Linked DNA regions of Bombyx mori. The protein of the gene in region 2 purifies or fractionates together with the protein of the main gene of each other region. This does not show direct contact. Links are inferred from orthologs where the notes say so. Each region holds a gene or a part of one and is shown on either strand. Other genes may lie near its edges.

What was found.
Region 1: the proteins of WASH complex subunit 3 (region 2) and F-actin capping protein beta subunit purify together in Homo sapiens (co-immunoprecipitation; 4 studies listed by BioGRID and IntAct, with this or other methods). This does not show direct contact. The link is inferred for Bombyx mori from reciprocal best matches to the Homo sapiens genes WASHC3 and CAPZB.

Annotation. Positions count from the first base shown.
Region 1 is NC_085109.1:2,867,185-2,871,064, reverse strand, and holds the start of F-actin capping protein beta subunit, read right to left. Parts: upstream 3,112-3,880; 5' UTR 2,964-3,111; coding exon 2,961-2,963; intron 2,838-2,960; coding exon 2,453-2,837; intron 1,633-2,452; coding exon 1,433-1,632; intron 913-1,432; coding exon 801-912; intron 2-800; exon of another isoform or gene 1-1. UniProt on the Homo sapiens protein: F-actin-capping proteins bind in a Ca(2+)-independent manner to the fast growing ends of actin filaments (barbed end) thereby blocking the exchange of subunits at these ends.
Region 2 is NC_085118.1:943,751-947,108, forward strand, and holds WASH complex subunit 3, read left to right. Parts: upstream 1-811; 5' UTR 812-960; exon of another isoform or gene 961-1,007; intron 1,008-1,094; 5' UTR 1,095-1,167; coding exon 1,168-1,224; intron 1,225-1,381; coding exon 1,382-1,546; intron 1,547-1,929; coding exon 1,930-2,202; 3' UTR 2,203-2,575; downstream 2,576-3,358. UniProt on the Homo sapiens protein: Acts as a component of the WASH core complex that functions as a nucleation-promoting factor (NPF) at the surface of endosomes, where it recruits and activates the Arp2/3 complex to induce actin polymerization, playing a key role in the fission of tubules that serve as transport intermediates during endosome sorting.

The DNA.
Region 1 (3,880 bases), on a different chromosome or scaffold from region 2:
CTACAAAACAAAATCATCACCTTCAGTGTCTTTTTTTATTTATTGCTTAGATGGGTGGACAAGCTCACAGCCCACCTGGTGTTAAGTGGTTACTGGATCCCATAGACATTTACAACGTAAATGCGCCACCCACCTTGAGATATAAGTTCTAAGGTCTCAGTATAGCTACAACGGCTGCCCCACTCTTCAAGCCGAAACGCATTACTGCTTCACGGCAGAAATAGGCGGGTGGTGCTACCTACCCGTGCGGACATACATGAGGTCCTACCACCAGTAATTACGCAAATTATATTTTTGCGGATTTGGTTTTTATTACACGATGTTATTCTTTCACCGTGGAAGTCGATCGTGAATATTTGTAAGTACATATTTAATTAGAAAAATTGGTAACCGCCTGCGGGATTCAAGCATCGGTGCATCGCTAGATATGAATGCACCGGACGTCTTATCCTTTAGGCCACAACGACTTCAAAGAGTCGCAGTCTTCGCAGAGTCCTTGACTACTTCGGTCACAGTGTAAAGAAGAATGGAAGCAACCTCGAAAGGCTCAATAAGTTGGGCCGACCAGATCCGCCCTGCCCATGGTCCGACATTTCACAACGCCCTCCACACCACCAGAAAAAGAAACAGGTGGAGAAAAATCTTACGAGAAGTAATGACATAGAAATAGTGCAATAGGGAAATAGTGCAACGAAGAATGAATTTTAAATTTGAAAGTGGCAATAACTTGTCTTTTAAATTTGAAAGTGGCAATAACTTGTCTGTTAAATATAAAGTAATTTAAAAGGAAAAATTGATACCAAAATAAATGTCGTTAAGTGTGTTTCTGATCTTATTTTCCATGTCTTCCACCATGCGCCCAATATTTGCAATGTGCGGAGTCACATCACTTACTGTCGAGTCTTGTTCTGCCTGAAATTCAAAAGATAATCTATAATATTAAAAATACGATATTATAATTTTAGAGTAAATGGATAGAATACAGAAAGTCTGAAAGAGGCACATGGGACAGAGAAGTTAAGAAGTGTGTATTTGGAATGATATGGACATGTAATAAGACGAAATGACAATGAGATTGTTAAGAGTTTTAACTGTGAATGTGCAAGGCTTTAGAGGGAGAGATAGACCTAAAAAAATTGGATGGATTGAGTGAAAGATGATATTATGTGTAAGAGGGGAGTAAAGAAGAAATAGTTTATGATAGAGGAGTATGGAAGGAGAAAACATGTTGCGCCGACCCCAGGTCACTGGGAGTAGGGCAAGAGAATGATAGTGATGATGATGGCATTATAATTTTATTAAGATTTGGGGATGCAGTACCAGAATGCAATTGTGAGGCTGCAATTGCATTGTTGTTGTTGCATAAATATAAAAATAGAACTCCTGCACAATATTATTAAGCTTTGTGCATATAAAATAAAACTAAATTTACCTGTCTAGTCAAACTGCCTCCAAGGTTCATCGTGCCGCTGCTTTCTTTATTAGTCTGAAGCCACAACATTGCAGTCGAGGTCAACTTGTAGTGAGCATTGCGTCCTGAACTCTTCTCGATCACCTCCACTACGTGGATTGAATCCCAGCATCCTTTGATCTTTTGGGAACCATCTCCAGCTTTCTTGATTAATATTACTCCTGAAATTGTTTTGTTTATTTTTGTATTTGTAATTATTATTTTTAAATATTTAAAGGTGGACTAAATAATGAAATATTAGTGTATAGATGAGTATTTTATACTATAAAATACTATTATATACACTAATATTTCATTAATCATTTCAAAGAATTAAAATAGAGTGTCAATGAAAATAATGAATGAAAAAGATGATGCAATTAAACATGAAGATTAATGTTTTATGTGAGAGATTATTTAACTAAAAGTATAAAAATATTACCAAATTAATATTATTTACTCTTTATTTAAAAGTAGTTTTTACACTTTATAGAGATCCATACCCAGTGGTGAAATGAAAGATAGCTTATATTTATTCTTAGAGCTCAAACTATTTCCACAGAATTTTGTAAAAATTGGCATACTGGTTTAGAGATGAAAACATAACATATAGACAGTTACTTTCATATTGTTAATGATATTTGTTATAGAACTTTTAAGATCAAAGAGTATAAAAGTAAATAATAAAAGTATTTAAAATTAACAATAACTTTCTAGCAAAATTAAATTTTATGAAACTCTTTATTGATCTCTAAATTAATATCTGTCTATATGAAAGCAAAGTGAAAATCCATTCAGAAATTCCAGAGAAGTGCTTCAACAAACAAACAGATTAATATAAAAGAACTAAAAATTGCTAGTTTCTGTTCTACTAGTCTTCTTTAGTTGCCCCCTAAAGTAATAAAAATACTATTATTACTTTTCTGTAATGCACAGCCACCCTGGAATTTACTGTTCTAATACATGTCTTTAATTTACAGAGACTAAATTAAGAGTGCTCACCTGCAAAGCCATGATCCATATCCCAAAGGTAGACTGAGCTAACGCCACCTTCAAAGTACATCTCTCGATATTGATCAAAGGCGAGGTTGGCATCTATTTCTAGTTTTCTCAAGCGTTCAGAGGGCATGGAGCCATCATCTAATGGTGGGTCGTAAGTATTCGACCAAGGAGACCTATAGGAGTCACCGTCGCGATTGTAATCGCATAATAAATAGTCTTTCCCGTTGCTACGATCCTGAGCAATCTTTAGAGGCTGATCTACTGATGATAATAGGTCGTCACACATACTCGGAACGAGATCTATCAAATCTGTTAAATTCTTTTCGATCTGCTGAGGGGGCAGCCTCCGCATCAAGTCCAGTGCACAATCCATTTGTTGGTCACTCTGTAACAAAATATATATGCACGATTTTAGTATAAATACTTCTTAATTTCCTTGCATTAGTCATCACAACAAATAGCTTGTTATGATGTATGCCAGGTCACTGAAACTGGAAAGACAACTTACCATATTGAAGTTTTATTATTCGGATTAACAATTAATAACAAAATAACCAAAGTAGTATAATTATTTCATTAAATTAATAACTACAAGTTTTAAAAGTCCCAACCCGAAAATGATAACTTGACGTAATTTGACACTTGAAGTTTAGTAAAGTACCTGCATATGTAGTGGTAGTTATATTTTTTTCACTAGAAAGGCGAAGGGATTAACTTAATCATTTTAAAGTCATTTAACCTAATCTTTTGCATATTCTGTTTTATAAAAATAATATAAAGTAATTCATTTCGCTCTATATCGGGTGGTGAGTAGCTATTTAGTTTAAGCGACATTTCAATTAATACGCGACATTTATCTTTATAATTAAAGGTGCATTTTATTTTGTATCATATCAACATATCGATGTTTTTAATTGAGCTTCAATTAAGTTTACCACATTCAAATAGCTGAAGAGGTTTCTTTATGATATTTTTTTTCAAATTTTAAACATAAAATGGCTCTCGTGTAAGGTTGCAAAAATTTCGTTTAAACCAACAGCCTTTCATCCCTAGGTATCATGGATAGTTTTCCAATAACAGCACTAGAGCGCATTATGCGGCATAATGCTCAACGTTGAATGTTCCAACTACAGCAACGCTTCGCACAATCGAGCACTCTCAAAAGTACTGCCTGTCATCAGAGATTTTATTAATGGCTCAAATAACTCATCTGTTTCATTATCATAAATATTTTCAATAAATATATCACTTGATAATGAAATAATTGATTGATTTAAACTCGGAGCACTCGATAAATTATCGTCATCACTGTCATCTGGATAAGATGATTCAATTAAAAAGTATACACATCATTTTCTTAGAACTCATTTAAAAAATACTCAAAACGAAAAAAAATGTTAATGAAATAATCGAAATCCAAATTACTTA
Region 2 (3,358 bases):
AGTGGCAGCCACACACGACGCAGCTTAGATAGACTTTCGACGAGGTGAACTGACGTCCTACTGAAAGTCGCAGGAATCTAATAAATACGGTCGCTGCACGTCTAGGAGTGGATGATTTGTGTGAACACGTCCAATGTTTGTTTGATTTTTTAAAACTTGTGCCATTTCACATGTATTCAGTGATTAAAAAGCTTTCATTACTACAAAATTAGACATTTTATTACAGATACATTCGCGAAGCAGTTGCCCTTAGCTGTTAGATCTCCTACGGAGTCGTGGCCAGGTCAGGCCTTCGGTACTTTGGAGGATTGGCTTGTGCGGCTTTTCGAAGCCTGCCTTGAGCCCGGACGGAAATCGGACAGATTCATCCTTCTGAGGAAAGAGGAGCTCCTCTAGGAGTCATCCGTGGTGTACCACCACATCGTGTTGCTGGACGAAACTAGAAAATTGTTGGAGCAAGTCGTGGATGCGTCATCTGCCCCATCCCCAGGACGGGTTCCAATCGGTCAGCCGAACAGTACGGCTTCAGAAAGGGCCGGTCTACCATCGACGCAATCATGCGTGTGTGTACCCTCTTTGATGAGACTGTTGCCCGGGGCGAGGTGGCAGTTTCCTTAAAGTCTCAGTAAATAACCATCATTTTACTTAGATTTCACGCCAATTGATTATTGTTTCAAATTAATCAACTCTATTTCATTTTACTTCATATTATCATTTTTCATAAAATACAATGATAACTTAGGCTGTATCGTATGATACTTTTGCCTTTCCAGTTGGAAAAATAGAACTACTACAAATATTGACAGTGGACAGTAGCACTATTGTCAAAGAATAGTGTTATATTGATAAATGTAAATTAATGATAATAATGTCAGACTTAGGTGGTGGTACCGTACCTACTGTACCTACTGAAATATTCCTTTTAATTTGCTTACATACTCTTTTAACGTAAATAAATAGGTACGACTGTCACGGAAGGAAAAAGATTGTTATTGTAAAATAATTAGGTGCTTTTTATATTAAACTTAGTGTAATTAAAACTCGTGGACCTATTAGTCAATGTATTGAAATGTAATTCAATTTGGTTTTTTCAGTAGAACAAAACAAATTCAAGCTTCCAAACCACAAGACAAATTTCTTTTTCGTCTTGTTTATATTCTACTGAAAATGACCATCCAAGAAGATTTAACTCAATCCGAATCCCCACAAACGGATTTAACTAAGGTTTTAAATTTGGAATTATTATTATTTGTTGTAAAATTTAATGCAGTACAAACTTCACGGCCTTGATTATCTTTATAAACTTCCTAATTCTAGAAAACACAATATTTTTTTATAAATGAGAATAATTTATTTTTAATATTTAAAAAACAAATTGCAGGTTGCGGCATTACATCAAAAACGTACATTGGCATTTGTAAATCATTTCCTAACAATAAATGTACAATTTCTGAATAACTTTATGACGAATTGCGAGCAGAAACTGATGCAGTTTGAGAGAAAATTAGAAAAAGTTAATGCTGCCATGGTTTTGTTAGAATCTAAGGTGATTATATTTTTATAAATTATTGTATGTAAACAAAAACGGATATCTAAAATGTTTTTATTTTCTATCATTAGTCATAATAAACCATTTCTGCAAGACCTTCTCTGGAAAGCTGTTGATTGATCTGATAAAGTAAGAGCAGCCTATTGATATATTTGCAATGCATAAAGCTTCAATTGAATTAAAAAAAAAACGGTCTCCTACCAGATTAGAAATTAGACTACTACTAATTTTAAGATATGGCATCATTGCATTTCACCATAATCCTTATTCAGGTTGTGTTTATGCCATTTCTTTAATTGCCCATGTGCCTCAAAAACTTCATTTTAATTGATAGCATACATCAAACCGATACATAAATAGATAAAACTTATTGATTTCAGTTATCTTCAATACCAGAATTAGACATTCCTAAGCAGACAAATACAAGTAATGTTACAGAGACTGAATCTACTGAAAGTCAAAATGAAACAGAACTCCAAGAAGAAAATCTAGAAAGAAAACTAGAAGACCAAGCCCCAGCAGAAATGAAAACTAAACCTGAATATGATAAATTTGTTAAAATGGTTCAAGTAGGAGTGCCATTGCAGGCAGTGAAACTCAAAGTCTCGTTAGAAGGTCTCGATCCTGAAATACTGGAGCAATTAATAAAATAAAATAATATTTTATTATTTACATTATTGTGTTGTTAGCATAGTATGATCAAATAACCATAGTGTGTAAACCATAGTTTACTTTTATAGAACAAACAATAGAACAGTGTATTCTGTGATACCTCTAATCTAATGGGATCATAAGTGTAAAATTAATAAAATAAAATAATATTTTTTTTTTGTTTAATTGTAATCAACGTATAGTTTAGAAAATATTATCTTTTATCTATAAAAATATCATTCTAATTGTTAAAATTGTAATGTTTTTGTTCTTATCGTTTTAAATAATGTAATAGGCTCAAATATTTAAGTAGCATTCCTTAATATTTTTATGAAATGTTGAAAATGTTGTTTTTAATAAAGGATTTTATAATCATGCAAGATTATTGATCACATAGAGGTGGACCTAGAAAAAAATCATTAAATACTTCTGAAAGTTGATATATGCTTACTATTTTAATTAATTTATTTTGTGAAACATGTTGTATGCGATTTATTCCTTTTTTTGCAAATAAATAGTATTCTTATAGGGGTAGTAGGTGTATTGATTTATGAGAGATTTATTTGACGTAAAATTGGCCATGTCAGTTAGATTGTGTACAATCATGCTACAGAGATACTATTATATTATATTCTAGTAACAATAATAGGCACCTATAGGCATCAAATGTTGTACCATCCTAAGTAATTGCAGAAATAGTTCTCTGCCAGCACCCTGATAATAAATAAAAATAAGGCTGGCCATACCATTAATATTTTTATGAGACATATTAATTAATGCTAAGCATGATTTTTTTATTCCTACTCATAGAAGTTATAGTTATAGTATTACCATACGATGTGGATGGTAATAAAGTATAGGTGCAATAAATGGGAGGTTTTAAGGATGCATCTGGTCCAAAGTGGTGACCTTGATTACATATTGATAAAGTTCTTAGAGCAAAACCAAATTAATCTGAACTTTTTGTCGAGTATCCAATAAGATGCTAAAACAAACTCATATTTTCTAATTTACCAGCACACCACCTGTCAAATTGTCACCATTGCAAAATTCATTCCTTTATTCATCCATATTAAACGCACAAATACAGTCACTCCAAGAAATATGGATAGTCAAATAAAACACAAATGTAGGCAATGGTCTTATTTATTAGAAGCA